Linked DNA regions of Drosophila melanogaster. The protein of the gene in region 1 interacts with the protein of each later gene in a pairwise test. Each region holds a gene or a part of one and is shown in the gene's direction. Other genes may lie near its edges. The genes, in order: CG17107, Sesn, Pex14 and Alp1.

Region 1 (7,028 bases):
ACGCCTTAAAAGCCCGAGACGGAGCTGCAAACGGTTTAGTTCCTCGCCGCAAACAAAACTAGTCACAACAACGTGGAGCGGAAGCCAGCAGCCCCAAAGTGAACCAGTTAACATACAGAGATACGGTCTGAGGTAAAGACACTCAGAGAAAAACGTTTAAAAAAATGCTTAAAATTTATGGTGAATTTCCAAATATAAAACAAACAAAATTGAAGTGAACTATCAATTTTAGTGCAATTGTCAAAAAGAAAAGGAAAAGTGGGAATGACTATAACTTTAACTAAAGCATCGTTCAAAAGCTAATATAAACAGTGAATAACATATAGCTCTAAAACAGCTTAAAAATATTCAGTTATTTGTAAGATCCCTTCCTCTCTTAATATCGTAAAAATAAACCACCTTTTTTCTCTGCAGAAAGAGAGAGCTTTTGGAATCAGGAGCAAGTTTTTTCAGAGCCAAAGTGAACGTAGCTTTCGGCACGTTCGAACCACCACACTCGTTTGATTCATTGCCAGCGAGCCACTGAACCGCCTCGCATTCCGCGAATACCAAAAAAAAACAAAAAATCCGCCGAAATGCTGCGGACCTTTGCCATTCTGCTACTGATCGCAGTTTACAGCCACGCAAGAGCTGCGCCACAGAAAACAACCGTTTCGCCGGAGTATGAAGCCACCGAGGACGTGGACTCCTCCACCTATATGTCCGTGGAGGAGAGCACCATTACGGTAGATGTCGACTCGGACGTGATATTGACCACCAATCCTGAGGGGGAGGCCTTCACCGAAGCCAGCCCGATAGTTACGACGGAGGAGCCACTTCCGGATTCGGTGGTGCAACAGCTTGAGATGGAGCGTGCACAGGAGGAGGAGCTCAAGAATCCCGAAAAGCCGGAAGATGACCTCGATTCGGACTCGGAGGAGGAGGATCAGACCACATCAACAAGTACTGAGCAACCAAAGTCTGAAGTTTCCGAGAGCACCACCAAGCGGAGCTACAAATTCGGAGCTACCACACTGCCACCGAATTTCATCACAACCACTAGAAGAGTGGAGATCACCACTATTCTGCCACAGGACGGAGCCACGACTCCTAATGCTGAGACCGAGGAAACCACCGTCAAGGAGGAGGTCAAAACCATAAGGAACTACTTCGAGCGGAAGCCCGCACATATGGAAGAGATTGAACTGGACATGGCCGAGAACCGAATGGAAACGACCACAAATGAACCCCTCCATGAGAACGTAGAGCTTTCCATGATTATGACCACCGACGCCGCATTGGTGGAAGAGGATAAAAAGACCGGAATTGAGACTGATCAGGCAGAGACGGTGGAAACCACAGTGGTGCCTGTTTACCAATACGTTAGCAATGCAGCTCCTATCGTCACTGAACCACAACCGGAATCAACTACGGTGGTGCCCACAGTAAAGGAAGAGGCAGCCACCACTGAGGGTGCCATTGAGGAAACTACAGGTGTGTCTTTAATCTAAAAATATATTTGTGACTTATTTATTTACGAAACCCATTTCCTTGCCAACAATATGTTAACTAAATACATATTTTTTTCACAGAACTGCCACTAGTTTTGTCCTCTGCATTTAAACCCACCAGTGAGGCTGAGGAGACCACTGAAACAGCTCCAAGCACCTCCACTTCAACCACCGAGACTGTTCTGATCACCACCAAGGTGGGAACATTGGAGAACTTCCAGCCAGAGACCACCACGAGTGCTTTGGACACAACATCCACTACGAGCACCACTGAAGCTCCAACTACGACGAGCACCACAAGCAGCACTGAAGATCCAACTACAACGAGCACCACTGAGGCTCCAACTACGACGAGCACCACTGAAGCTCCAACTACGACAAGTACCACCAGCACCACCAGTGCTCCAACCACAACCACCACCACAGAACGCCCCATTCAGACGCGAGCTCCGCGTGTGGAGCGAATCTTCAACTCCGACGGAGTGGAGGTGCTCTACGGATACTCGTCTGTGGTGCGGACCAACCGCTCGTGAGTGGTCAGCACCACACGACCTTGTCAAGGTCGGACAACTTGCCATTATGTGGAGATTGATGCTCGGGTTGTTTTAGGCAATTTTCAATTCTAAACGAGTTATAAACAAAAATATTTAAATTTTATGCGACGATCCGCACAGTGTGATAAACCAAAAAAAAAAAAGAAAAACAAATAACGATGCGTAAGAAGATATCGATGGAAATACAAATCCGCACAGACATTAAACAAAACAAAAATAATATTGTGCAAAATTTGTGAACGGTCTGCCAAATGACAAAAATGAGGAGAAATGCGTGAGATAAGCGATTTTATAAATTATAAATAAAACATGAACACCCATCTTTCGTTTTGTGTTTGTTTTGGCGATTGCACAAAGCGTTAGTAGGTATTTTAAACATTGTTGATCCGAAAATCGATCTTCAAATGGGACATAATATTGCCGCAACGAAACGTGATTGGCTGAGGTGATCCAAAAGATACCCTCTAATAGTAGCAGAGGGAAAGATAATTTAAATCATGTTTATGTAGGGTCTATTCCTAAAATTGAATATTCAATATAGAGTTTTTAATATAGAGCATTCAATGTAGAGTATTCAATATAGTATAGACTTCTTTCAAATCTAATTCACTGAATATGAATCATTTTGTATATTGTTCGAGCAGCGCACCCAAGAAATCAAGTCAAACACAAGCTCAGACATTCAGCAGCCCACAAGCTGATCGCTGCCCACCTGCAAAAAAAAAAATAAAAAACAGAAAAAGAAAAACCGGCAATCTCCTCAAGAGTTGTCGTCATACATTTTTGGGCTTTATGTTCCGGCATGGACGCAGTTAGTCCGATGGACAGACACGTGGACCAGTCAAGCTGACTGGTTTGGTGTGGTCAGGTCTGCAGGCTTGGGTCGCCTGGCAGATTATTCATTCATCGATCGGCTTGTGAAAATCCATGAATCCATGAAGAAGCACAGGGCTTTTTTGGGGGTTTTGCAATGAGTATCACGTTTGCTATGCCTCACCCTCGATGGAATTTGAAAGCAATCGGCTATAAAACAAACACCAAGCGCTAATTTCCATTTGAACTTGAGCGGCAGTCGCTAAACTGCATGTTGAATATGGTTCGAATGAATGCGGATCGAAGGTTTTGGCGATACGGGTTTTTTTTTTTTTGGCCACTTAACTGGCCTTTATTTACTAAGCCAACTGACTTAGTAAGCTCTAGGTCGTGGGATGTACCGATATCAGGCAGTTAGTCATAAGCTTAACGGGATGAAGAAAAATATATATATTAAGATGGTAACCACAATTGCAGAAATGAAATTAATAGATTAGTTATTTCTATCATAACATTGAAGTAATTTCTCTATCTCTCCATTTTCCTTGCTTATGAATAAATTTATCCTGGACATTTAATGACCCAAATTACTACAGTAGATTGATTTGTAAAACAAAAAGATTCGCAAATATTTCTCACTGTATGCTTGCTACAGTAAGCTCTGGCTATAAAAGCTTCATTCGCAGAAAATAAAAACAACTTCTGTTACAGCCGAAAACTATGCCACTTATATATTTAAGCTCTAGTTAACCATTGTTAACAAGTTAAGTAGACTTATTTTTGCTTTCTTTGTTTCATTATGGAAATTAAGTTGTCATACGAAAAAAAAAAAACACAGGATAGTGGGACATCCCACGATGAAATTATATGCACTCTGCGCTATCCTGCTCCTTGCCATTGTGGCAGTCCAAGGATATCCTGGTATACACGGTGGCTTTGGACACGGAGGACACGGTGGACTCAGTGGCTTGGGAGGACTTGGCGGCTTAGGAGGACGCGTTGGTTTCGGAGGACCCGGTGGCTATGGAGGACCCGGTGGCTACGGAGGACTCGGTGGCTACGGCGGACCCGGTAGCTACGGCGGTGGTGGTGGAGGCGCAGTAGCCACTGCCAACGCTAATGCAAACGCAAACTCAGTTGGTTACAGTCCGGGTGCTTACTACGGATAAGGAATGATGATAACAGCAGTCCAGAAACGGCAATTGCTTTAAAAAATAAACAAATGCATAATTATTGCATAAAGACTAAGACATTTTTCTATTATTACTTTTGCCAAACGTTATCAACACAATGGCCTTACCTTCTATGTATAATATACTATAAATATAAATTTATTAATTTTTAATTATTATTTATTAAGTGAAGAATATATATATAATTTTCGGGTTCAAAAGTTGTAATCACCGGAAAAGGAATTTTGTATAAAATGTGTAAACAGAAGCAAATCTAAGGACTTACATGATAAACTAGTTTTTATAGCTGATTATCATAATGAATTTATCTGAGCTTTTTTACAGCCTGAAAATATACTTTACCAAAACATGGCTTGCCAAAGCTAACCAGTTTTCAATTATTGATAACATAGTATATAAGCATATACTATACATATAGGTAATATTAAACGTCATGCGTTTTTAATATATGTCTAATTAATGTGCTAATCGAAGCCCCCATATATATGCCGATACAATATCGATTCTGTGATTTTTTTTGTTTTTCAGATAAACAAGTCGTCCACCTGTCACGGATGCTGGTATAAAAGAGGCCAGCACGCGATCACAAAACATCGCAATCTCTAACGATGAAGTTCCTGGCTATCTGCATTTTTCTAATCTTCGCCCTGGTGGCCGTTCAGGCACATCCTGGTGGATTCGGCGGATTCGGTGGAGGCGGTGGTGGCGGTGGTCGCGGTGGAGGCGGTGGAGGCGGTGGAGTCGGTGGAGTCGGCGGTTCGAACGCAGTTGCCAACGCGAATGCCGCTGCAACCGCCGACAGCAGAGGAGGCGGCCCAGCTTCCGCCTCGGCCTCGGCCACTGCAACCGCCAACGCCAGCTCCGGAGGAGGTGGAGGTGGACATGGCAGACATGGATAGGCTCGAAACGGATTCATAACTGTACTCTCGAAAAGTGGGCACGTCCGCTGACAGACCTACTAAACTGAAACCAATACCAATACCAATAAATATTAAAATGCTAATTCTGTTTTTGGAAATCCAAGATGTTGTTTTCGTATATTAGGTTAATAACCAGTTTATGAGTCGGGCATTATTTATAGATCTAATGACGTCAAACAAGATTTCTCTAGCCTCCTAAAAACAGACTAAGTTAACAGCGGGAGCTAATATTAGAAACTATGTTTTAAAATGTATCTAACAACTTGAATTACAACTGAAAAGTATGCATTATATATATATAGTTTTTGCAAATAGTTAGTGCATCTCAATTTTAATTTAATTTATTTTTATATTTAAAATCATTAAGCTCATTTCATTCATCATTTGTTTGTACAGCTTACCCGGAAATCCAAACAATTTGTGAGTTTTTTTTTTTTGTGTGATTACTTTTTTTATGTAATTAAGTAATTGCATTTGCCACCCACAACAAGTCTTGAATTTGGCCACTTACGGAGTGACACACTCAATTTCAGCAGGTCTAATAAATCGAAGATATTTTTTCACAAATGAAGTCCGACGTCTCTTGATATATTGTCAAGCTTCTTAAAACTCGGGTTTGCAATATTTAAATTTGCAAATTATCAACATCTGGATAAGTTTCTACGTTTACGGTAGCCAAACCTTTCCGAAATAAAACTAGTTTTATACCCCTTAATCGTACAGTAATAGGGTATGCTAGGCTTATTAGAATGTATGAAACAGATAGAAGGAGCATTTTCAATCTATATTGCATTCAGATTTTAGGGACGTTGCACTTTTGAAAAATGCTTTTGATATTTTTTTGTTTAATTACCATTTTTTCCTATCTATTGATGTGCCAAATGAACTAGTTGAGTAACGGGTATCAGATAGTCGAGGAACTCGGCTATAGCGTTTTTTCTAGTTTTTAATTCTAGCTAAATTATCTACATATTATTATCATAGTTAATTTTTGCACTAATCAAAGCACACAGTCTGCATATCAATGATGTTTTCGAAATGTCTGTTCTTTTCTGTTGCTCTAGAAAGTGGAACACACATTATAATTATAATTTGTAAATCTAAAGAGTAAAATATTTTTCTTTGTTTATTCCAAAAAGACTACAAACATTTTTACAAAATACGCTTTCAATGTATGAATTGTAATTTTATCAGCCTAGAACAATTTTGCGACTGAATCATTTCATTTATATTTTCATAATAGAAATGCATAAATTCGAAATAAAATATTATCAAAATATTCTTGACAAAGCATTCCCCTGGAAAAAAAAATGTAATTGGATGTGTGCAAAAATGCACATGTTCTTTTTATGCACATTCAATTTAGTGGATCTATACTTAAAAAGGATTCTGTGTTAGTTTTCCTTGTTTGCATGGACCTCATTACTGTGATGACATGCCTTTCAAGAATTACAAATGTTCATAGTTTTGTGTTTTTTATTTTTATTTTTATAAATATTAAAAATCTACTCAGTGAATAAATTCGGATCTGTTGGCTTATTTGCGGAATGCGTTGGCGACGGCATTGGCGTTAGCATTAGCACTGCCACCTCGGGTGTTGGCATTGGCATTGGCGTTTGCATTGGCATTACCACCGCCAAATCCTCCGTCAGAGTTGGCGACAGCATTGGCATTGGCGTTAGCTTCGGAGTTACCACCGAATCCTCCTGGTCCTCCTGGTCCTCCGAATCCTCCTGGTCCTCCGAATCCACCCTGTCCTCCGAATCCACCCTGTCCTCCGAATCCACCCTGTCCGCCGAATCCACCTTGTCCTTCAAAGCCACCTGGTCCTCCGAATCCACCTTGTCCTGGCCCTCCGAATCCACCCTGTCCTCCGAATCCAGGGCCTCGTTCCCCGAATCCTCCTCCGAATCCGCCTTCCTTCTGGAAACCAGGTCCGCTGAATCCTGGTCTTCCACCGCCCTCACTCTCAGCATTTGCGTTGGCATTTGCGTTAGCATTGCCATTATTAAACTGCGGGGCGGCACTGGACACGGCCAGGATTACGGCGAGAACGAC
Region 2 (8,887 bases), on another chromosome or scaffold:
GGCACCCGCTGGATGACCACCACGTTGATGACCAGCTCCGCCAGGAGCACGAAGAGGCCAACTATGGGCAGAGCGGCCGGCTCCAGGAGCAGATACTTGAAGAAGCGCACGTTGAGGTACTTGTCCAGGATGGAGTCCACCAGGGTGCCCGACTTCTTGCGCCGCACCGCCGGACGGTGGCTGGCGGCCTTTGGCGGGGCCATTTCTGTGATAACCGGCGAAAATTAATTAAAATTCAACTTGAACCGAAAAACAACCAGGGCGGCACTATCAAAATCAGCTGTTGCGCCTCCCATCGATAGCAGTCCAACTGGATTTTGCATGCTATCGATATTTTCCCAATTTAAATTTGTAGTTCTAACAGCGAGCACCAGTGGCGTCTTCCGCTTCCGGTTGTTGCTTGGTTTTCAAGAAAAGAAAATTTAATTTTATCACGCTGAAAATGCTTTTAAATATTTGTAATTTAATTTTTAAAGTATATTTGGGTTGCTACCTAAATTATTGTGGCCAAAACACGAGTTTTCCAAGGAGGGCTACCTTCATAACTTGGCCAAAAAAAGTCGCACATTCAAAAAAATTACTGTTTTAGACTCCTAATGATCCAAACTAACTATCCCAATCACAATCTTGACGATTTTCAATAATTAAATTTTTGGCCATTTTTTGCATTTTTTGTAAGGGGTTACATCGTTAAAATTTGCAAAAAATTGACAAAAATTAAAATTTTCAAATTTGAATGGGAATCGATTAGGAATGTGAATACAAGTTCAACAAGCTATGACACTCAATATTTGGGCCATAAAATCGATTGTTTTGGCCAAAATACGTATTTTTTGGTTGATTTAAGGGTTCACCTTCATAATTTGGCCAAAAAGAGTTAATGATTCAATACAGTACAATAGAAATATCATTATTTGAGGATTTGCTTGAATTTTATTGAATAGCAATGAGTTTGACAATTGCATTTTGAAACACATCCACTGCTTTTAGTTCCTGCTGAGTATTTACAATTTGAATGGCTGCATTTTTCCTAGCCAGCTGGATGTTGTAAGGCCTGCGGGTGGATTAAACCATAACATATATGTAGTAATTAGCAGAATTCCTACACGGCGAACGCTTCTATTCGGTCAAAATGGGTGGGCCCCATTTGGGGCGGGGGACCGGAACTGCAGGTGGGAATACGCAACAGGTACAAAACCAATCAGCTCATGGCCAATTTGCTGGCCAGATTAACGTCCATCGCTGGCGTCATCCCAATAGCAAACAGTCGGTCGTGGTCCGTGTGCTTTGGCTGGTTTTGCTGGCTTTGGGTGGTTTTTGGGGTGGCTCTGGCGGTTTAACGCATCGCTGAGATGCATTTGCCAGAGGCAAACGGGGTAACATAAGCCGGGCGAGGGTGTGCTCATGCAAACGCAGCTCGTTTATCGGGTTACAACTGATATGGTGGCCATGCCGCAACCACACTTAACCCACCATCGAGCCCACATCCTTTTCAGGACGCAGAACGCAGAACGCAGGACACAGGACCCAGGGCTCGGGACTCTGGACGGGGGAATGGCCCGCACCCAGACCCACCGGGCAATTAAATGTCAACCCACGGATGCGAATGGCTGCCCGATTTTCCGGCGCTGCCCCGCTCTTGTGTGTTTTTTCCGCATTTCGTGATTCATTTATTGTGTCCACTGCAGCGTGTTTGCTCGGAAAAAGAAAAACACGAAATAGTTGGCCCTGTTGTCGCTTTTTCCCGACATTTACCTGTTCAGTCAGCCAGCTGAAACACTGATATGCCACCAATTATCCAAAAAGCGAAAAACTGTAGCGAAAAAAGGTGCACGGCGATTTACAGGAATTTAGCCGGAGGATCCGTGCGAACTGGAATTCAATAACCCATTTTTGTCAGCTACATTTTTTCCAAAAAAAATCTGTTTAAAAACATTTTTGCTACAGATGAGTGGAGTTTTACCGTAAAATTTTTCTGTACTCTGATAATCCTTTGTTTCCCCTTTTTTTTAGCAAAAATGTTGAAGTGTGTCCCTTGATAGCAAAACTAATTATGTATGCCAGCATTAATTAAGCTTATATGCTTGAATACATCATTTCGCTGGAGAAAGAACATGCTCGAGAGAGTAATTCAAATTAAATATAAAATAATTTAAAAGGTTTATACAATTGTAAATAATAAAACATACTGATAGTCGTGCGTAATGTGGCAAGTCATGCATATTGACTAATTTAAGTGATCTGTGCTTTTTTCTTGGGGCCCGTACCAAAATAAGTTTAAGCATATGTTTTCATGTTTGTCGCCCCATATTTGTGGGTCAATCGCGTCCGAAGAGTTGGCTATCTCCGCATGAACTATAGAACTAAATCGGTCACTCCTTATCGGTCGCGTCGCCTTAGTCGACAGATGTACCCATGTGTGTAGACAAACCAACATACGTACAGCCTCAGCTACTTTCTGTGCGAGTGAGACAATTGTTTATTAATCAATAATAACAATAATCTACGCCACGCACACCGACACAACGTGTGTATTTCGGTATCGGCGCTGTTATCACTATCAGCCCGCTGCTGCTGTGGCTCCCATTGCTGATAAGCGACTTCCCCCACTCCGCCGCTGTAATGCAAATCAACAGCATTCGGCCTATGATAGTGATAGTGGCGAGCGGCGAGCAGTACTTTGCACTCGAGTGCTTATTAATTTCTCTTGCCAGCAGCGCACTCATTGCCTTTGCATTTTATTGTCTCACGATCTGGCTATAAAATGAAAATGGGGACGGGTACTTTATTTATCGCCGCCACTTATTGCAGTTCGTATGATACTCGCTCTATGGGCGGAAGAAACGGAGGCGGGGCAGTTCAGAGGCTCTCGAGCCGGAAAAAGTCTCTGTAGGGTAAACAAGGCGGGTTCCATGGCTCTGCGAAGTCTTTCTGCCGAGCTTCAGGTACAGTGGAGGTTCTACTGTGTGAAAGTGTAGTTAATACCTAAGTTCGTAAAGTTGCTAGTGCCATTTTTGCTTGCAAAGCATGCTTTGTTGAAAACCATTTGATATCTTGCTAGAAGCTTTCAGTTTAGTGACTCTACATCCCTACATGCTGGCAGTTTCGAACAGTTTTGAGCTGTATTCCAGTGAGGATTAATCCCATTTGAGTTCGAAACTATCGCCTCTTGTGCTGATTATTGTGGACAGAGATATTGGATCACGACACAGAGGGCTGACTGTGGCCTCTTTGCTTTTGCTTTGAGCTTTGAACGCCCGCAAATGCTGACTATTTTGTTGGGCCCTAGCATGGTGATAGAATGTGGGAGGGGGAAAGGGGCGTGGCAAAGGGGGAGTAGGTTGGAGATAGGAGGGCTAGCGACTAAAAAGTGTTGATAACCGGGCACACATTTGCATCCACAAACACTGCGACGCACACACGCACACCCTGCTTTCTAGGCCTCTGCCATTTAAGTTCAATCATTTGGAGCGTCGTCGCTGCGTTGTCATTGTTGTTATTGTTGTTATTGTTGCTATTGTTGCTATTATTGTTATTGCTGCTGCTGTTTGTGTTGCTGTCGCTCCATGTGCTCCTCACATATGTTGAACTAAAAAGAATTGGAGGAGCAGAGAGGCAGGGCGAAGAAAAGAACTGTACATTTGTACGGGGTGTATTGGTTTAGTTGGGTACCCTACGCTACAGAAGAAAGTAGAAGGTTGAGAAGGAATATGTCTCCTACTTTTCGTGCGTTAGCACGCTTTTGTAACAAGTTTCAATAAATAGATTATAGAAACTATAAAAAGCAACAATTCGGATATGACAGTCTCTATATCTTGTTTTGTGTAGCGTATTCGGCATGCAGCTTAGCTCTCACCCTTGGCAACGGCAACAAAGTAGGTGCAACAAAGAGTCATAGCGACCGTCTCTCCTGCGCCTACAGAGCAACTCTCCCCACCCCCAGCCCCTCAGGAAAATGGTCAGACTGCTTCTGCCTCTGCCTGTTGCTGCTTTGCCTGCTCTTTCTGTCCCACACACTTGCTCTCTCGCTCGTTGCTCGTAATAAGCTTACACAGAAAACAAATAATTGAAATCTAAAGAAGTTCTCCTTTAAATTATTAAACGCAAAGGTATAATTAGATACAATGAAAATAAGTTTCTTGCATGCAGATCCTTTTAAGCTACGAAATCGCTGTTAAAGGCCATATAACTAGCATTGCATTAGTTGGTGATTTAAGTGCTTGACTTTTCGCGCAGTGTGGCGCACTCTCTTCGGCTCTCCGCCCCCGTCAGCTGTTGTTGTTGCACTGTGGGGCTTTGGGGCTGCGATACCAGCTGTTTCGTTTCGTATCGTTTCGTTGCGATTCGTTTCATTTCGTTTCGCCGCGATTCGATTCGAGTCGAGCTGCTTCAGTTGAAGTTTGTCGCTGGCCGCGTTCAGTTGTCCGGCTAGAAAAGCGGAAGACCGGGAAATCCAGACGCGCTACAGACGCCCGATATCTGCTCCCACTCTCAGCGCAAGATCGCGGGAAATCAGGAAGCTCCGAAAACATCGGATAACCGTTTTTATTTTTATTCCCCTTTGGTTCGTTCTCGCCTCCGTTTCTTCTGTTGCTTCTGTTACTTCTGGTAATTTCCATTTCCCTCGGGGGGATACGCGCTCAAACGCAACTGCAGGCGGCGCAAAACAAGAAATGTAGATAGCGCCAAAAATTAAAAAAATAAGAAAAATAGAGAAAAATAAAAAAGCGAAAATCATTGTTATTGCATGGAAAATTACTACAGAAATCTCCTGCAAAGCAGCCCAGTCAGAGTGGCACTAAAGCAAACCAAACCAAATCAAACCCAAAACTGAGACAACAACAAGGCGGCGGAGCATAAATTAGATTGGCCTCATAGTCGAATAATAACGAGCTCGAGCCGCGTAAACAAATTAAACGATGCTGACCGCCGTTGTTGTTCAAATTTAAATATAAACTATTATTGTTATCTCTGCGCTTGCCGTTGTCTATTTTCGCGCCAAATGCAATCGGTTCTTCGGTTTTTTCGGGGTATTAGGGGAGAGGGCATTACATAATTAGTGAGCGCGTAAATTAAATTATAAACGAAAACGGACGAAAATCGAGTACCAACTTTCTTCGTTTCCTCTGATCAAAACAATACATTTTATCCACAGTTTTCGTGTCTTAAGTTTCGGAGCCCTTCGCCGATTTCCAGCAATTAGTTACTACATCATATATGTTCTGTGTTATCAAAAACGCGAGCGAAAGAAGCGCTCTATCTGCGATTGTAAAGACAAACACCACAAGAAAGTAGCTGTGTGCCCCTCGGGCAAATGAACCGAAATTAAAGGAGATTACAAACATCGCTATCAAGCAAATGTAGAGACTGTTAGTCCGGCGAACAAAGGGTAAGTAAGAAAGGTTCCATCTATACAGTACTCCAGTTTTCCCCAATACATTTGCAAATGTCCTTTGAGGCCAGGACTGTTACTAAGAGGCTTTTCCGATGAAATGGAATGTTCCTTAGGGATTGTCGTAATGGAAAAAAACCCAAGGCACTGCAAGAAACAAAATGCACTTTAGAATTGGTTAAAATATATCCTTAAGCTGGTATTCCCCTAACATAGGTTGCCACTCGCATTTATCTGCAGTGCCCCACTTAATGTCTTCATACATAAATAACTGGCTATTTTTGAATATTTGAATTCTCTATTGAATCTATAGAGAAACCATTCCCTTCCCCAGTGCACAACTCTCGACTGGAGTAGAAGCTCATGCTATTGGGTTTGCAGCATCGCTTCCCACAAAATCCTCACAAATCTTTGGCAGATTGCACATGTGAAACCTGCGGTTGTTGGCCAATTCCGGCTGTTTTCCCATTTTTTGGCCAGTGCCAGGGACTTTGCGGATTGACGGGCTGTCAAGTCAGCGCAACAGGTTCCTGGGCCAAGATGCGTATACAGAAAACAGAATCGAATGGAAGACACACTGATTCAATTCGTTCAGTATTGGATTTGCTGCTGCCACACAACTTCAAGTTGAGGAAATTGGCACTTGACCTACCGCACGGGAATCTAAATTAGGCGGCGTGTTCGCTTGCCGAGCGTTTCGCCCTCTCTTTCCGCCCCACTGCGAAGGCGAAGCCTCGCACGCGGTTTTTGGTAAACTGCTGAGGGCATTTGTTCACTTTGCTGGCTGCGTTTGTTTACGGTTTCCATTACCCGCTTCTCGCGGCTTCAGCTTTTTCCAGTTCTATTTCGAGTTGGCCATCCACTAATTAGGCAGCTTGTCGGGCAGCATTCGAGTTAAATGTTCGGCACTGCAAATGACATGGTCCTTGCGGCCATACACACGATACTATCCATTGTTACACTCGTACAATACATGCGGTGAAACAATCAAGTACGCCGACATGGGCGTAATTCGCAGACAAACAAGAAGAACGAAAACGAACTGAGCCTGCGAATTAAGGCCCCTGCTCGGCAATGAATTCTCTTCGCCATGCCAGGCCATCGGCCATCCCGGCGTATACGTAATGCTACGGGCCGAAAAGAATTGAGGAATGGCTGGCAGTTAATGCCAATTATGATAAACGGTTGCTATGTAGCCGTCGCACACAGATACTCTACACACTGGCGCGCGCCACACAGATACTCACGCAGATACAGATACTCATGCACTCGCACTCGCACAACTGTTGCTCGCGATGTTGTTGATGTCTTTTAGTTGTTGCCAGGCGCATTAAGATTGCCGCTTGTGCTTGTGTGTGTGTTTATGTGTGTTGAGTGATTGGGTGTACGAGTGTGTGATGGGAAATCACTTGAACCATCGGCTGAGAGGGCAATTGATATGTGCTTCCATCAATGTTGCAATCAGTTAAGCGGCTTTCGAGCGCCAGAAACAACTGAATCGGTCTGTAAACTCAATCGAATTCGTCCTTTTGCGACAAAAACAACAGTCATGGTCCTTCCAATGACCTGCGGCCACTACCATTATTAATTCGATCAGCTGTACGCTTCGCAGATTCCAGTAATTCGATAAAAGTTTATTTAAGCACTTATTTGAACAGATTCAAATAAGTAAATTGAAAGTTTAGTACATTATTTCATGTTTAATGCGGATAGTTTAAAAGTTGTGTTGTTTGTTGTATCCGCGAATGCTGCTTTAATCATAGTCATTTCTATGGGCGCAAGACGAGGTGACTGAACTCGCAACAGCAACTGCAGCAGCCACTACAACTGCAGCAAGTGCAGCAGCAACACAATTGCAACTGCAGTCTGTTAAGCTTGCTTGCCGTTAATTTGTGCAATCTTCTACTTTTACCTACTTATTACAAGTAGTCACAAACAAAACTGAGTATTTTCCATGCCGTTTTCCCATGCTTCAGATTCAAGGGTATTTACGCATGTTCTTCAGCTAACTGCAAGCATAATCCAAGTGGGAAACTTTCTGACTTACCCATAATTGTAAAGACTTAATTAAAAGAGTTTCAATAACTAATCAAATGGATTTCCCTCACAGCGCACATAACTCACCATCCATATCAGTATATCAGTAGCCTAATAAATGGCGATTGGCCCGACTTAAGTCAAGTGAATATATAAAAAATCTAATCGCCAAATATTGTTTATGGTGGTCAAGTACGATTAGAAGTTCTTTGGAAAAGCCATAGCAACTGCCAAATTCAGATTTCTATTCATTTACTGCCGCTGCTCTGCAAATTGTGTGCGAATATTTGTGGATTTCTGTATGTAAGTGGGCAAATTGCATTACAACCGAATAATAATTACAATGCAAAAGTAATTTTGTGTGCGAAATTCTAATTCCCCATGCAGCCGAATAATTGGGGTTGGATTTATCTATCAAGAAACTAATGGAATCACATTAGTTTTAAATACAACTTTGCTTCAACTTAGCTTAAATTAATGGTATGGATATTTCATCAGTTGGCATTATAATTAGCCCGTGGCATTATAATTAGCATAATATCAGCACTCCTATCGGCATCTGCCTGCCATTTGGATTGCGTCAGCCGAAGATCGGAATTAGATCCTTGTTGACAATTGAGTTGCCAAAATAGCGGGCAGATGTTGCACCCAGGGCAATTGAAATGCCAGAATGTGTTTGTATCTTTGCATCTTTCTATCTGGTGATGCAGATCTGCATCTGCGAGTCAGCTGACACCGTTACTCACGCACTCATGGCACCCAAAATAAAACTGTGCATAATGTCAGTGCACTGAACTGGCCGCATGAATCGCAGTCAGAACTGCAATTCGGTGGCAAGTTGCAATCAATATGAGTTTATGCAGCGGGGTCAACGAACTGGCCGCTGAAAACTCATTAGCGTAGTGCCGCAGGCCCAAATCTCAGTCGGGGAAATCGGTCGAAATCGGTCGAAATCGGACGAAATCGGACGAGATCGGACGAGAAACCGGGGGAAATCGGCGAAAAATCGGTGCAGGCCGGGGAAAATGTAGCTTTCTAGCCGCATGATCGCACAGCTGAAAACAGCTGAAAGCAAAGCGACGAGCGCGAATAGCAAATTGCAAGGCAAACAGCTCGTGGCGGTCGCCATAGCCCACATATACATACCCCCACTACATACATATGTACATGCATGCATATATGCACTTGTATCTGAACAATCAGCGTCAATAAGCAGCGCAATCGCCGTTCGTCATCGCGCTGCTACTGCAGCTGCCGCACAATGGCGAATAATAAAATTAGCCACAATGACGAACAAAGAAGCGCTGGCAGTGCAAGTTTGTAATGGCCATTACAAAACAGGCTAATCTGCGGGAAGTTGGCTCGCAGGGAGCCTCGTCCACTGTCACTGGCCAACAGAGGAGGGCATTTAGCGACGTTCTGATAACGCGGACTCGTAAGCCTCTTAGCCGATTAATT
Region 3 (7,923 bases), on another chromosome or scaffold:
GGGAGTTGCTCCGCGAGCGAAACGAGCACAGTGATGCACTTAGTCCAACAACAGTGGCTGCAAGTGTAACCGCAGGTCTGAACATTCATGTGAAGAGGAAGTCCAAGCCGGATAACTATGAGAAGGAAATCAAACTCAAGAAGCGGCGGGAAGATGATATCGAGGTTATCCGAGATGATGACGATGAGGAAAGCGAGGAGAGCGACTCAAACGAGGAGGTTCCTGAGCAAGACAGCGAAGGAAGCGCAACAGAGTCTGGAAGCGAAGACAGCTATGCTAGCAAAAAGAAGAGCAAGATTAAATCCAAGTCTCAATTGGAAGACGATGACGAGGATTTACCCTTACCCGACAGTCCACTTAGCGTGGGTGAGCTATACAAGTCGCCCAAGCAACGTCAGCGATCTCGCTCTGTAAGCTCCAAGAGCAGCTCCCAGTCCAGTCGAAGCAGTCGGTCCAGATCCCGTTCTAGAAGTCAAAGCAGCCTAGAGGATGAGGTAGATCGTCAAGACGTGGGGGCAGATGCCTCACCCAGCAGCAGCACACGCAGCGAGGAACGTGGAATGACCCAAGAGCAGCCGGAAGAGAAGCCCGAGGAGAAACTCAAAGAGAAACAGAAGTCTCTGGAGGAGCAAATTCCGTGCGATGACAAGGGCATTCCCCTGCCCAACTATTATCCCGGTGTGCAGGGCTGCCGGTCTGTGGAGGAATTCCAGTGTCTAAACCGCATCGAAGAGGGAACCTATGGAGTGGTATATCGAGCCAAGGACAAAAGAACCAATGAGATTGTGGCTCTTAAGCGTCTGAAAATGGAGAAGGAAAAGGAGGGATTTCCGATAACATCACTCAGGGAGATCAACACTCTTCTCAAGGGTCAGCACCCGAATATTGTGACCGTTCGCGAGATCGTGGTCGGATCCAACATGGATAAGATATTTATTGTGATGGACTATGTAGAACACGACCTGAAATCCCTGATGGAAACGATGAAAAATCGTAAGCAGAGCTTTTTCCCCGGAGAAGTCAAATGTCTGACGCAGCAGCTTCTGCGGGCGGTGGCCCACCTCCATGACAATTGGATATTGCATCGTGACCTGAAGACCTCCAATCTCCTCTTGTCCCACAAGGGCATTCTCAAGGTGGGTGATTTCGGATTGGCAAGGGAGTATGGATCGCCGATCAAGAAGTATACCTCACTTGTTGTCACTCTCTGGTATCGTGCACCCGAGCTCCTTCTCTGCTCGCCGGTTTACTCCACGCCCATAGACGTCTGGTCGGTAGGCTGCATTTTCGCCGAATTCTTGCAGATGCTGCCGCTCTTTCCGGGAAAATCTGAAATCGATGAGCTTAACAGGATCTTTAAGGTAAGCTGTGGTTGAGCATTAAAGTTTAGTTATTAAAATAAGCTTGTTGAACAATTGTTAGTATTAACTTTGAAATTCATTTGCCGAGAATGCTTATTGACTTTTGATTTATTGTTCTAGGAATTGGGAACTCCGAACGAGAAGATCTGGCCAGGATACACCGAGCTCCCAGCCGTGAAGAACATGTTGTCGCAGAACTCTCAGTTTACCGAGTATCCCGTCTCGCAACTGCGCAAGCACTTCCAGGAGAAGACCTCTGAAATGGGCTTGTCGCTGCTGCAGGGTCTGCTGACGTACGATCCGAAACAAAGACTGAGCGCCGACGCGGCACTAAAGCACGGCTTCTTCAAGGAGCTGCCATTGCCCATCGATCCATCCATGTTTCCCACCTGGCCGGCCAAGAGCGAGTTGGGAGCCCGCAAGGCGCAAGCCTCTTCCCCCAAACCGCCATCCGGTGGCTCGCAGTTCAAGCAACTAGGCCGCGACGAGCCCATCATCGTGGGACCGGGAAACAAGCTCTCATCTGGGATTATCACTGGCAACAAGAAGAGCCACGGAGCTGGTGGATCGTCGGCTAGCACGGGATTTGTCCTGAACGCTGGAATAACGCAGCGCCAGTTGGCCATGGGACCGGGATTCAGTCTGAAGTTCTGATTCTGTGTGTTTTAGCCCATTACGATTACGATTAATTGTTATGTATAGTTAGCGATGTAAGTGGAAAATTTCGTTTAATTGTATGTGTATAAATATTGTTCCATATATAATTTAAAAAGCCATACAAAGCAATTGGGATGTATAATCATTTTTCACCTCAAGAGCGGCAATGCCATGTGGGTGGGTCAATTCAAGGAATATGAAAGTTGGCTATAAACATATCGAAAATTACTCCATCGTTTTATTGTGCAAACAACTTTTCAAGGACCAAAACTCAACCCACCCTCAACACTCCGAATGCGTCCACACCTGTAACTTTAAAACTTAGCCTAGGGGAATACTAACGCTCTACCTGAAATGCCTAAGTGGACCACAGATAGAAGTAAGTGCTTTGCCACGTGGGAATGTAATCTTTAAGGGGTTTGGCAACCACCTTAGCAATGGGCACACTTGTGGCCACAAAGTCGAGGATCCGCTCCAGTCTGGATTTGGTGAAGCTGTCATAGAACGGCGATCGGACCAGGAAGTACATGATGTTTATGCATCGCCTGCTCAGCTCCAGTTTTTGTTGCTTGGACATTAGGTCGCGATGCTGGCGGTAGAGGTGAATGCTATACAAATCAATGGATAATGCTACCATATATTGCTTCCAACTTCTCCGGCCGAACAGCCCCATGGCGACCAGGTGGATTAGTGGCTTCGATATATACAGGTATTCTGCTTGCAGGAGTTTCCTCGGAATTTGCGTCTTCGCCGCTTCATTGTTGTCTATATGAAGCTTGAAGTCGCGGTATTGCAGGGGAGGAGCACCCTCCACTTTACGAATCACACGGCCAGATCGCTTCAATTGGAAGGTAATGGAGTGCTGGGACTGCAATAAATCGTTCGTGGAGGAGGCCACACCATCCCCCGAATTCTTCCTCTGTTTGGCCCTTCGATTCAGTGCGGCGATGGGCGGTGAGGTGATTATATCCGAGGTTGAGTGTTTCAAGATAAAGAAACGGCCCGCTGCCTTGAAGGCCTGTATTAGCGCTATCACCAGCCACTTGCCGGATTGACCGAAAAGCCGACGGGCTGATATCTCGATGAAAACCTCGCTATATTCGAGCGTCGTCAACGTGACCTTTAGACGGTAGCAAAGTTTCGATTGCAGGTGGATCACCGAATTCTCCTCGGAATTGCGTGCCTTTTCGATGATCCGGTCGTTGTAGAACACCAGCATGTTTGACAGTGTATATACCAGCTCACTGACCACATTTGATGAGGAAATGCGACCTGGAAGCCGGCCAATGAGATGAGTCTGTAGGCTCTATGTAAGCAAGGAGTTCACTTTACCTGCTATAAAGTAGGATACCCACTTGGCTGTGGTCTCAAAATCCCCCACCACGTCGGGGTTTTTGCCCACCCACGCCTCGTACGCCTTCAGCATGCCCTTCAGAGTGTCCATTATATCCGGAAAATATTGTCTGTTCCTCCAAATAATAAAAATAATGAGGTGTTTCGGTCTACAGGTAATCAAATCGGTGCAGTTGTGGTGTTCTGGCGTTTTGAACAAGGCGTTAGTGCTTTCATGCAACACAAAATAGAAGGTGACGCAAAATGAATACATATATGAATGCAAGCACGGAGAGCGTTGATTAAACGCTTTGGATTAATAAAATTGGTACAAAAATAAATACCAAATACCAGTGTCACGAGCTTATCGCCATTACACTTTCAAATTTTACCACATTGGTGCTTACACGTCATAGAAAAAGAAACTAATAATTAAGGACCCACAATTTGTAAGAACCACATTTGGCATATCTGCCACCAACCTTTCATAGCCCCTTTTAATGTTCTTCAATGTAAAGATTTGCTTGTTTAGTCTCGGCATCTTAATTCAAGTTTCCTGATTCTTTATACTGCAGTATATTTTTATTGGGTATATTATGCATTTAAAATTTTAGCCCAGGTACTATGTTCTTTATAATAGAAACATTTCTTACCAAATTTTTCGGTAAAAACATTTTTCCAAGTTCAAATCTTTATTACGTTACAAATTACCTTAACGTTATACATAATAACCCTAGAAACGCTAATGCATTAGTAATTTCGAGAGCAGCAAAGTCTTTGGTCACACTTTTGTTTTTGTGCACTTTGTAATCGAATTGCTCGTGAATTCGGATTCACTCCGTTTTCGTGTGTATTAGCTAGGCAAGATTGAATTAAGAGTCGATATACAGATGTCCAGCAACAACACGGACACTGGGGACACCACCGTCATGGCGACGGCTACCTCGGTGCAGAACGATGTCGAGGCCGGCGTAGATGAGCAATTGCCTCGAGAATCGCTGGTAATATTTGTTCAACCCCTTCAAGTTTGCCTAATCTATAATCCGACTATTCGCCGCAGATAACCACTGCAGTCAGTTTTCTACAAAACACCAAGGTGCGCCACACGACACTTATCCAGAAGCAGCAGTTCCTACGGTCCAAAGGTCTCACCGCTCACGAAATTCAGCTGGCCTGTGAACGGGCCGGCGTTTTCACCCAAGACCCCAACAAGCCCAATCCGAATCCGAACACCGTCATTAGCATTGGATCCCAATTGCACGCGCTGCAGCCGCAGCCGACTGTCTTGGGCCGGATCAGGGAAATCATCCATTCGGCAGCCCTGTTCAGCGGAGTCGTCTACGCAGTCTACATCTTCTGGAAGGTGAGATGCAGTGGGATCTCTATTTCGGGGTCTTTTAAAAAGATTTATTATATTTACTCCACCAACTCGAGTGCGAATTTAAAGATCGCCATCTTGTCTAAGGCTTAGATACATTACACATATATTTGATGACACTTTTACCAGACGACGTTGAATTTACTTAGTATTTAACACATTTTGTAAAAGTGTTAGGACGCATAAATAAGTTTTAAGTGGTCCACCAGTCCAAAGTCCATGATTGCTAATAACTTCTAAAACCCGTATAATTTCAGCAATACATTGCGCCCTACCTGTTCGGCAAGTCCAAGAAGAAGGCGGTCGATGAAGTCCTGGACGACATAGACAAGAAGGTAGAGACCCGCACCAACGACCTCAACAAGGAGATTTTGGCGGTCAGGGATCTGATCACCACACAGCAAAGGGAACACGCCCAGCAGCTGAACCGCGAATTTAGTAACTTCCGTAGCGATCTGGATGCCATTAAGGGCCTGCTTTTGAACCGAAAACAGTTCGCCGGCCCTGTGGCTCCGATCGCAGTGCCATCCATTCCCGCCTGGCAATTGGCCGGCTCACCGCATCACCATCACCGGCACAGCGGGTCGGACGACAACGAGAAGGGCGATGATGCTGGATCCGGGTCTGGCTCGTCGGAGACAGAGGTGGTCACCAAGAATAGTGACTCCAGCTTGGAGATCATGTAATGCAATCAGAATACGAGGCTGGCTATATAGACGTAGTATATAGTTACGCTGTAAATTGAGTTTCCCCGTTAAATGCCTTCAAGACTTTTGGTTTTTTTTCTTTGCGTTTATAGCATTTAAGGTTTCTTTATAGTCAACAGCTAATCCATATCCAAAAGTACATACACACACTCACATATACACACTTATGCGATACGATGTCTATACAATGTAATAATAAAAAGTTTACATAATAACAGGTTTGAATTGAAAGAAACTGTTTAATTAAGCGCAAAAATGCTTTGTGTAGTTTTTTGTTTATCGGTACATACGGGGTGGGGATAGCATATCGGTTTAGACAATAAATTTCGACTTAGACGATAATTGGATTCTAAAAATTTTGCCGAGTGCTACTTTCTATAAATTGGCTAAATTCCCTTAGGTTTGATTTAAGATTATGCCGGGCGGAGCACCTCGAGGTTTTGCCTACAAGCTCCTTGAAGACTCCACCCAGATCCTTAACGGATTTAAATTATTTATTTATTGTGCGGTGCCTAGTTATGGTTTTGTTTCAATTACAAATTTGGTTCTCTGCGCATTCCCTTCATTAAATTTCCTTCACTACTTACGTTAGTTATCGATTTGTACATACGATAATTTAGTATTCAAATAATTGTTTGCCATTTTCGTAAAAGTTAATGTATTCTAGTAAGTTAATATTCTCACAAACGATTGTTAAGGGCTTCACAGTTCACATGAATGTGTTCTTTATTTCTCACTTCGTTTTGTGAATGGACAAACCATTGCGAAATACCCTGAAACAAGGATAGAGAACAGTACCCCTACCCATACTATGTATGCATTATTAGAGTCTTTTGTTGGGTAGCTTGGCCCTTGTTTGTTGGGTACAATCGTATAAGATAAACAGCGGCCAGGCCGGCATTTTTATCAGCTATTTCAAATTAAATATAACATATTTACAATTAATTATACCTTGCGATGGGGGCAATACCAGCTGCCAAAGGCCGAGCACTGTGTACGTTTGAAAATTAAAGCTTTGACAAGAAGTACAAAAATGTGTACGTTTGAAAATTAAAGCTTTGACAAGAAGTACAAAAATGTGTAACAAAATATTTAGTGTTTTAAAGCCTGTTGTTTGACCCAAACGTAATTTACCATTCGGACAGGCATCATTTGATTAACACCGAGCGATGTGTAACGTTACAAATTAAGTTTTTAAAATAAGAAATTACAAAATATTGCGTAATATGTATATGCGTTTTCCTGGTTCCAACGATACATTTTGAAAACGGAATTGGATAGTTGTACTTTTTCGGAAAAACAGAAGTTGCCATCCCTTTGGCTTCCGCGTTTGTTTAAATTAAAGCGATTATCATCCGATTACACAAAACTAAACCTCAGAACTGGGAGCATGGCCGCTAGTGTGGCTTCAGGCCCAATTGGTTTTTTCTTCCTCAAATGTAACCCTAATTTATGCTAACAGAAAGTGCACAGATAGTATGGACAAAATAGAACCATGTGTGGATAGCAAGATCCCAAAAAGAATCAAATCTAGACGGCTGAGTTGATGACCGCTTGCGTGGATGCGGAACTACTGATGCTATTGGCCTGGCCAAATGCAGATCCCGCTCCAGCAGCCGATGTGGTAGTCGTTGCCGTAATGCTCACCGCTGCCGCTGTGGCAGATGTCACTCCATCCGGATAGCCGCCCGAAGCAGGAGCCGGTGAAAGAGACATCGTCGACGAGGAGGGCGAAGAGCAATCGCTTTGCACACTCATTGTGGGCGAGGCGGCCACCAAATTGCTGCTACTGCTGGTGTTGCTGATGGTCATCGGAAACTGTGGCGGCGGATTCCCGGTGGGCGTGTGCGGGGACAGTGGCGACATTGAGGACGATGTTGTGGTCAGCGACGGGCTGCTGCTTGTGCTCGTTGTAGTGGCTGTGGATGAGCTGTTGCTATTGACTCCACTGATCGTACAGGAGTTGGTTGTTGGAGCCGTGGATGCGGCGGATGGGGGCGTCGATGGCGATTGCTGGCTGGAGGTTACCCCAGCTGCTGCCGCCGCAGCTGCAGCCCGCTCACGCTCCCGATCTCGTTGTGGCCTGAAGGCCTCACGCAGTGCCTCCACGCGAATTTCATTGGGTCCCCATCGCGCGTATCCGGCGCTATTTTGCAACCACACCACCTGTGTGCCCTGCATGCACTTGATCAGCACATCAGACCTGGAAATTAACGGAGTTAAATAAGTATGAATGGGAAAAGCATAAGTTTAACTAACTTACTTTTGCAACATGTGCTGATAGCCGTGTCTGTACTCGTGGGCCATGCCCAATACCACCATTGAACGGCGCTTGTACATGCTGTCGTCCAGCTTGGATATGCTCTTCCACTCCGGCAGAAACACAATAAAGCTGAGTAAAACAAGAACAAATTGTATTATACTCATAAGCAACATCAAACCGATGTTTAATCTCACCTCAGAGGCTCCATGGTGTCCGTGAGCAGTT
Region 4 (8,818 bases), on another chromosome or scaffold:
AGAGTGTGCGCTCGCTGAACACATAGTCGGATTGGTACCAATGTTTTGGGATCGAGATCGGGTTGGGAGTCGGGAGATGGGAGCTCCTAAGCCGCTAAAGCATGCGTAACAATGGCCAACACGAAATCTTAATGATCGCTAAGCCAAGGAGGAGTCGATGACCATGCACTTCTCCGAATGCCCAGAAGAGCTGGCGAGTTCCATTCATTGATTCATTCAGGTCGGGCCCTAAATGAAGTGCTCCAAGTGTTTTCAACGCACGCAGGATCGATTTTCATGTTTATTATTTCATTTTTCGTACATGTGTGTATGCCATCGCATATATGGCTTCCTCTGCCTCTTAACTCTAAATACAATACAATACAATACAAAGCGCTGGCGAATGAGTTTCGGAACATAATTAGAATTTGAAGCCAACAGTTGTTAATCAATACTAATAATCAATATACAGGGTGCGTAATAATAAAAGTAGTACACATAAAATATAAAATTGTTTTTAAAGCAAATATAACAGATGCACGTGCCGGTGAATACTCCTCAAAACACTATATCTTCGTCTACGAGTCGCAGTTTTCGATTTCAGCCAGTATTGGAAGTTGGATTAAGGATTAAAGCCATAATCTCGCCTAAGGTCCAAAGGATTGGGTGGGGAATTACGGGGTTTAGGGGCCTGCATGCGGCAACTCTTGTCTTTTCACAACAATTTACTAGTTTGGTTTGAATCATTCGGAGATGCCGGAAGGCTCTAATTCTTGAACTGAAAAACGAGTATCAAGATGATGGCCAGCAGCACGGCGCTCAGGATGCCCACCAAAATAAGCTTCTTCTTGCGCACTTTGTTCTAATAAACAACATATTTAAATTATTTAAAATAATAACCTTGTAGGGGCGGCACTTACCCTGTAAGAGCTCGCCTTGCGCAGATTTTCCGTGCCCTGCGAGACAAAAATGCTAGTCTGTTCCACCTGCGACTCGATGGAGTCCACCGTCAGTCCCTGCTCGTAGACCAGGGCGCCAAGCTTCTTGTATATCTCGTTCACGCCCACGATGTTGTTCTCCAACTCCCGTATGACCTGCTCCTGTTCCTCGAGGGCCTGCAGGTCCGCCTGCTCCTCCATCTGAGTCTGCATCTGTTGCTGGTTTGATTTGCGATTGAAGAAGTTGTCCTCGAAGAAGGAGTTGTTGTCCTGCTGGCTGGCGCTACTGTTGGAGCTGCCGGTACGCGATGAGCCGGGTGGACGGGCGATGTTGTAGCTATCTCCGCGCGCCTGCCGCAACGCCGTCTTCTCTATGTCCGCCGTCTTGCGCTGAACAGACTAAAAATACCAATGATAAACAATCAGCATGACTCACAAAACCATTTGCTTATCTGGGAGAACAAAAACAAACCTGGAAGGCGGTCAGTGCCGCCGTGAACTCGTCCACGAGCCTATCCCGCTGGATCTTCAGGTGGCGCTCCTTGCACTTGTCCACCTCGTTGATTTGATTGTTTGTGTCGGTCACCAGCTGGTTGGTGTAGGTCATTATTTGGTGGCTGTGGAGTAAGGGATTGTTATTTTTATCGTGCGTTATACATTGATTTGATTTGTGAATCACACTGTGCTGATACGTTTAAACTTTCAAAACCAATGACTGACTACAATGTTATTTTGCTGTTGGTTTATGTGGTCGGTTGATGTGCGCAAAATGTATTAAAAGGCTGTATTGGCTTAAGAAGATTTTTAGACATTGTGAGTAAACACCCAATAGAGATCTTCACTATGTCTTTAGAATTTATGATTTGTCTGAGAGATATTCGAATAATCGATGTATATCTGCAATGGGTTCTATCTATGGGGACAGTTTAAATTCCAAACGAAGAGATCGTAATGATAATCATCTTACAGCTGCTTCTTGAGCTCCGGAGAATCTTGGGGCGTGTTCAGTTGATTGACCATGCGCTGCATCGTGGACACTGCGAAAGAGACAGAAACCTAGATTAGTCATAGGCGAAAGTTGGCAAGTGCTTCGACGCCACTCACCATTCTGCTGCACCTTCTGGATGCTGGTGGCTATAATCTGGGCCAGCCTTTGGAAATCTATTTCGCTTAGGCCACCTCCTCCCCCGCCGCTTAGACCATTCTCCATATGCTGTAAGTCCATGCTTTCGTAGGCAGACACTTTGATGACCTTCGAGTTATCGCTGGAGACAAGTTGTTCCTGGAGAGACAGACAATCGAATTAGCCCCGTGGCCCACTTATATCACATTCGCTTTTATGCGTCTCAGCCAGGTTCTTGATTCTATATTCTATATTCGTGCTTGTTTGTTAGTTTGTCTGTTTGTCGGAATGTTTGCAATTCGCATTCCCTTTGTTTGCTGCACAGCCACACACCTTTTGTGGTTGCCCTAGCTGTCGTTGGTGACCTTCGCCGGTGACCTTGATCTTAGAGCATTTCCTTCGCACTTTTTACGCGTTTCGCAATCTGAAATTTGTTGATTTAAGTAGGCGGAATGTTCGCAAAACTGAAATTTTAGCTAGGTTTTTACAACAATTGGAATGGAACTGCCAACTTGTGAGAAAGTCACTTTCGACTAATACCCAAAAGTGCCTTAGCGCGTGATGCGTTTAGCATCACTTCCTTGCTACGCTTTACAGCACTTCAATTATATCGATATCTGGCGCGGCATTCAAATAGCAGATATATAGAACTGCATTTTAATTATATTCTTCCCCCTATATTTTGTCTCGAAAATGTATATAAGTCCTGAGATTTATTATTGAAAATCGATCCATGTCTAAAATGAACTGCTTAATGTTATTATTCAAAATTATAAATTATTATTTTGCACTTTTTCTCCAAAATTAAAATGTTAGATTAGGAAAATGTCGTATAGAAATGAAAATGACCAACAATGATGCCTTATAAAACAAATAAGTCGAATTTTAGACAGTTTTCCTTCCGTTCAATAAATATGTTCATACCAAATTTAATAATAATGTAGGTATACAAAACTATTTTGCTTACCCAGAATGTTATTCAAAACTTAAAATTTAACATTGTACAACTCAGGGTATTTGAAACCTGTTTAGCAGAAATAAAATTGAAGATTATTACTTTTCTTAAAAAAGTCAAATAACTGGTAGACAAAATAAGTGCAACTCGTTTATAAAAAAAATCAAAAGCAACTTAATTCAAATTAACGTTACAAATTAGTGTATTGGAGATATTTATCAGTATCCGGTGTTTGGCACGGTTAATGAACTTTAGATCGCAGAATGAATTAGGCTGCTTCGATGCATCCACTAATTACATCATCTCCTACTGCGATGCAAGATATTATGCAAATGACCAATGCAACGAACCTGATTTTTGGAGAACATCATTTTAATCTAAGCTGTGCTGGCTGCATAATTTGAATAAGGGCATAAATGCCTTTCTTTCATCCCGAAATTCCGGTTGGTAGGTGTATTTAGAAGCTTTATAATACAGGGACGGGTTTTAATTTATTGTCTCAGTGTTTTTTTATAATTCGACTCGCATTTTCGGTCCCTGTCTTACCGGGCTCGTATAAATAAGCCTCCAACTGCGAAATGCGGCTTAGTCGATCCGTAGACTTCGTAACGCCCCGACCAGTCGAAAGTTAGTTCATCAAAATTCCGTGCGATGCGTGCTCTCCGGTTCTTTGCGGCTCTTGCCCTCCAACTCACGGCCTGTAGCAGCCAGTACAAATATGGGCCAGGTGCGTAACGTCAAGACCGAGATCAGAAACGGGCCCAAAAGACCCGAAATGAATAAATGAAAAACGAGTGAGAGTGTGCCAGGTCGAAAGCAAACTCAAAACATATGCAGAATTGATTAATCAAGTGCTAAACGGAGTATAAAAGGCGTCAGCAAAATACTCGTAAATTGAATTAAATATTTGACACCCGCTAACAGAGCTGTCAAACATCACTTTTTCCGAAGGAGAATGTTTTAACGAAAGTGGATATAAGACTAATACTTTAAAATTTAAATTTGAATTAATTTTAATGCTTAATTTCCATAGGTTTCTTTCGGTGTTTTATTTATGTGCTATCTTCTGAAAGCAATTTCCCTTTTTAATGATTAATTCGAAAGTGGAGTGGAAAACAATGGCAATTGTGTCTGTGCTTTTGTTTTGTAAAACGAAACATGTGCTTGGAATTGATAAATTCTTGAGGTTGTACTTGAAATGTGTATGCATATCGGCTAGTAACAAAAAATGGTTTCAATTAATCAGAATAATATGCATTCTTAATTTATAATGAAATAAGCTAAAATCGCATTACTTTCAGAGCAATCCTGGGACCTCGACTCTATTTCCGAGTTGAAGAGCAAGGAGTTCTGGTTTCACGACGCCCAGCGCACGCTCTACAATAAGCTATCCACTCCACCAAACCAATATCGTGCCAAGAATGTCATATTTTTCCTGGGCGACGGTATGTCCGTTCCCACGGTAACCGCAGGCAGGATCTTCGATGGACAGCTGCGTGGAGTGGTGGGCGAACGGAATCGTCTGGAGTTCGAGAAATTCAACTATGTCGGTCTGTCCAAGGTACTTAGAAGTCAACGAAGTCATTTGTTATCTCAATAAACTGCTAATAAATTTATTAAGTCCGTTAATAACTAGACAGTAATTACGCCCTTCTGTCATTGTAGACTTATTGCGTCAATAAGCAAGTGGCTGACTCCGCCTGCACAGCATCGGCCTATCTGTCGGGGATCAAGGCGAACTATCTGACCATCGGAGTGACAGCCGATGTGGAGTTGAACGACTGCAGGGGATCGCGCTTGCCGCAGAATAGGCTCTCCTCGATTGCCGCCTGGGCGCTTAAAGGTAGCAAATCCGCTGGATTGGTGACCACCACTCGGGTTACCCACGCCAGTCCGGCCGGAGTTTATGCGCACACTTCGAATCGCGATTTCGAGAGCGACTACGACGTGACCAAATTGGGTCAAAATCCAGGAAACTGTCCGGATATCGCCCAGCAATTGATAGACGGAGATGTGGGCAAGCGACTGCGTGTGGTCATGGGCGGTGGAACCATTAAATTCTTGCCCAATACCACGAACGATGTGTTCGGAAACAAGGGCCAGCGGTTGGATAATAGGAACCTCATTGAGGAATGGCAACAAACAAAGCCGGGTAATGCTAGGGTGGTGTTTAGTCGTACGGATCTCCTGAACAATGATGCGCAGAACACTGACTTCCTGCTGGGGCTCTTCAATGCCTCTCACTTGGCGTACCACATGGACGACAGCATAGACACACCCACGCTACCCGAGATGACGGCAGCGGCCATAAATGTGCTTTCCCGAGATCCAAACGGGTATTTCCTTTTCGTGGAAGGCGGTCGAATCGATCACGCCCATCATGAGACCAAGGCCAAGAAGGCCTTGGATGAAACCGTTCAGTTTTCGGACGCAGTGAGAAAGGCACGACAACTCACCAATCCCTGGGACACCTTAATTGTGGTGAGTGCGGATCACGGACACACGGTCACGATCAGCGGCTATCCGGATGTTAACAACAGCATAGTAGGACTCAATTCCGAGCTAAGTAATGTGGACCAGCTGCCCTACACGTCCATCTCATATGCCAACGGCCCGGCCTACGAGAGATTCTACAAATCGACGGACGGAGTGGTGGAGCGCGTTGATCTCCGTAACCTGGACTTTTCCAAACCGGATGCCATCTATCCACATGGAGTGCCCATGACCGAGGAGACACACGGCGGTGGCGATGTGGCCGTCTATGCTCATGGTGAGTTCATGTTTTTTTGGTTTTTAAGTTTTTTTTTTTAGATGGGTTTTGAATGATATATATAATCTTAAATCCAAGCATTTAATCAAAACTCTTGAAATGTATAAAGTTGTGGAATATCTTCTTCAAGGTCCATGGTCTCATCTTTTCACTGGAGTTTACGAACAAAGCACCTTGCCTCATTTGATGGGCTTCGCCTCTTGCTTAGGACCTGGAATTACATATTGCGATCTGCAGCCAAAAGCAAGATACTCTCCCTAGAAAATCCCCTAGGAATAAATATGTTTAGAAATTGAATAAAATGATCTATTCTTAAAACAAATTGCGGAGATTCTAGAATCGCCATATTTAATCTTAACTTTTTAGCTTATATAGTTCCTGAATAAAGAGAATAAGCAAAGAAGCAACAGCACTTCCCAAAATTATTAATTAAAAAACAGACAAATTACATTACAAAATCATCTCCCTGATGTCAATTGATAGACCCCCAAATAATGAAAACTTAACCGATATAGAGCTGCGGTTAAAATAATAGCACTACTGCAGGTGGAAAGTTGATTTCCTAAAAAAAAATTATTAAATGTTTTTTTTTTAAGTCAGATTGCATGAATAATAAGTACCATATGTGGTCTCTCTGAGCAATAAATTTTTACTCTCTCAACGTAACGGTTCTTTTTGTTTTTGGGCACTTGCTGCAAAAGTGCGCGAAATTAGGCGGTAACAAACATAGCACTGACCACGTATTTGCTGAATAATATTAATAGAAGTGATTGCTTTGGGTTTTTTTTTCCACACATTTTATAAAAAGGAATTGAATTGAAGGTTTTAATTGAATTTTTTCCAAACGAAGGCCCAAAATTCTCAAGTCATGGGTCGCATAAAGCATTGTACCGTCGAAAAAAGAAATTTGATTAAAAACATGATCTCTGAAGGTAAAACCTACGCTGAAATTGGACGCATTGTCGGTTGTTCAAACAAGAAAGAAAGCCCTCAATGTCCAACGTTGAGATCAAGCCCTTGGTTCGACAAAGCCTTTTAAGCCGGCGACGGAACTGAAGAAGGAGCTTAATCACAAGTAATAAGACTGGACTGGACGTATAGGACACACCATTTTAATTGAAAATTTGAATAGAGAAAATTTAATAGAGAGTTTGAATTTTGGTTATTTCCATAATTTCGATATTATCGCATAAGTTAAAAAGCCGTTGAGCCCATTAGTATCGATTGTTCTATCGTTTTACCGTATATTTGGGCGGTCTGTCAGCGGTCACACTTAAAAATATCCCCGGCAAAAAAAAACACAAATTGTGTTTTTAATACTTTTGATATTCTAGCGTAAATAATTGTTACGCGCTCTGATGTCCACCACAATTAACGCCATAACGTTAGTCCTGGTCTAGAGGTTGAAAAGAATCCTGAAACCAAAGAACCTGAAGATCAGTTAGTAACCGAAGGAATTGCAATGGGTTCCAACGGCGAAGAATTATTGAATTTCGCAATGAACTCAGACAGCGTAAATACCATAAATTCAACAGCGGACGTCGCAGAAATTGTCTTAGACACTAATTTAGAGTTCAACAAGACGATTCCTTTTCATCTGCCTCAGGAGTCGGACGTGGAAATGGTCTCTGTCAGATCAGCTGCCGAACCTGATCCTAACAAATCAGATTCCAAAGCAAGTAATAAATCAGATTCCAAATTAGATGGTAAATCGATATTAGAGTCAGGAACCAAACCTCAGGCGGCCCCGGGGGAGGTTTTCGCTAGGAAGGCATGCCTCAAGAGGACCAACGAATATCCTGCTCCGCTGAATCATACTCTCAAGAAACTGAACTGGAAGTTTAACCTGCGTATATTGATCTCAAATCTGTACATGAAGAGCGAGGATCGTCTTCCGGGAGCTTGTGTTTCCAGGTGTCTTTACAATACTAGTCTGTGCACGCAAAGACATCGGTGCTCCGCGCTTCCGGATGGCCCAAACTTTGCGGCCGTTCAGGCGCTACGAACCACGTTGCACGGCCAGCACTACGATACATTCCTGGACATTCTGGAGATGATGGTGTTGCAGGGTGTCTACCCAGGCGAAGGAGTCTTTGACAGACTAATAGATATGGCCATGGTTGATTGCTTATTTCTCTGGTGTCACATTGTAATAATATCATGAATTCCTTATGCAGATCCTAATTGCCAAAGAGATAAGCGTAAAGGAGCTTGGCGACATCTACAACAAACTTATACGCACCTTTTTTCTTTTGGTCGACGCCTTTCCCCCGTGCTGGACAGCCCTGCGTCCTTACTACTTGAGTTTTCTGGGCGTCTCGCATCCCCCCTTGCGAGAAACACGTTCAACCAATTCTACCCAGAAGTTGCAGTTTTACATCGATCTTTTTGAGGAAAATCTAACGCATTGCAGCGATGAAGAGATACGTGAAAACACCAAATTCTATGAAAAGTTTGTGTTTAACTTCTCGGAAGAGGAGGATGCGAATATGTCCCAGGAAACGGTCTTTCTGCGACATGTACAGCAGTATGACTGGCAGAGTGGGAAGCTTTGTCTGGACGACTTCAAGAGAATGTCGCCCGCAGTCCGCTTGGCACGGCTCTGCGATGTCCTGAACATGCTCACATGTGTACTGGAAATAGAGTTCCTCTCCTGGCTGGATCATAACAGGTTGAGGCAGTCGGAGTCGGAGCTGTTTCAGGAAAACTCCAGGTCATTTGCCTCGATCGTATTTGAAATGTCAGCAGGAACGCGTCTCAGCGACATCGTTAAACAAATTATGAGTCTGTATGGACAGGTAGTGGCCAAGTCCATGTACCCAGAACGCCAGAGGATTCTCCAGGTAGGTTTGTAATGTTTTTGGGTTGTATGCTTTATGTAACTCTTTCAGTACTATTAGCGCCTTGTTTCCCTAATTGTCGAAGTAAGCAACACGGCAGAGCTAAAGTACGAGGATAATGCTGTGATATATCCTAGTATGGGACCCCAAACCCATCTGCTCATCGAAGACTTCTTCAAGATTTTTAAATCGCACAATCGCAAAAAGGTTCGC

Evidence for each region.
Region 2: the proteins of CG17107 (region 1) and Sesn interact in a two-hybrid assay, tested with the Drosophila melanogaster proteins (one large-scale study listed by BioGRID).
Region 3: the proteins of CG17107 (region 1) and Pex14 interact in a two-hybrid assay, tested with the Drosophila melanogaster proteins (one large-scale study listed by BioGRID).
Region 4: the proteins of CG17107 (region 1) and Alp1 interact in a two-hybrid assay, tested with the Drosophila melanogaster proteins (one large-scale study listed by BioGRID).

The regions. Positions count from the first base shown.
Region 1 is NT_033779.5:10,677,333-10,684,360, forward strand, and holds CG17107 (uncharacterized protein), read left to right. Parts: upstream 1-4,633; 5' UTR 4,634-4,658; coding exon 4,659-4,949; 3' UTR 4,950-5,196; downstream 5,197-7,028. Other genes in the region: CG17104 (uncharacterized protein), read left to right, coding at 576-1,473, 1,572-2,023; CG17105 (uncharacterized protein), read left to right, coding at 3,715-4,026; CG7299 (uncharacterized protein), read right to left, coding at 6,507-7,028.
Region 2 is NT_033778.4:23,709,511-23,718,397, forward strand, and holds the start of Sesn (sestrin), read left to right. Parts: upstream 1-4,389; 5' UTR 4,390-4,608; intron 4,609-5,155; exon of another isoform or gene 5,156-5,170; 5' UTR 5,171-5,389; intron 5,390-8,887. Other genes in the region: Alg3 (ALG3, alpha-1,3- mannosyltransferase), read right to left, coding at 1-203. UniProt on the Drosophila melanogaster protein: Functions as a negative feedback regulator of mTOR function.
Region 3 is NT_037436.4:20,774,693-20,782,615, forward strand, and holds Pex14 (peroxin 14), read left to right. Parts: upstream 1-4,106; 5' UTR 4,107-4,240; coding exon 4,241-4,351; intron 4,352-4,410; coding exon 4,411-4,713; intron 4,714-4,985; coding exon 4,986-5,414; 3' UTR 5,415-5,686; downstream 5,687-7,923. Other genes in the region: pitslre, read left to right, coding at 1-1,361, 1,482-2,015; Pex16 (peroxin 16), read right to left, coding at 2,377-3,290, 3,351-3,462; Pcif1 (phosphorylated CTD-interacting factor 1), read right to left, coding at 6,966-7,638, 7,699-7,827, 7,893-7,923.
Region 4 is NT_037436.4:21,439,579-21,448,396, reverse strand, and holds Alp1 (alkaline phosphatase 1), read left to right. Parts: upstream 1-3,577; 5' UTR 3,578-3,646; coding exon 3,647-3,722; intron 3,723-4,296; coding exon 4,297-4,556; intron 4,557-4,660; coding exon 4,661-5,765; intron 5,766-5,874; coding exon 5,875-6,026; 3' UTR 6,027-6,170; downstream 6,171-8,818. Other genes in the region: Syx7 (syntaxin 7), read right to left, coding at 746-841, 900-1,316, 1,390-1,534, 1,885-1,954, 2,022-2,142; CG5664 (uncharacterized protein), read left to right, coding at 7,228-7,884, 7,943-8,608, 8,666-8,818.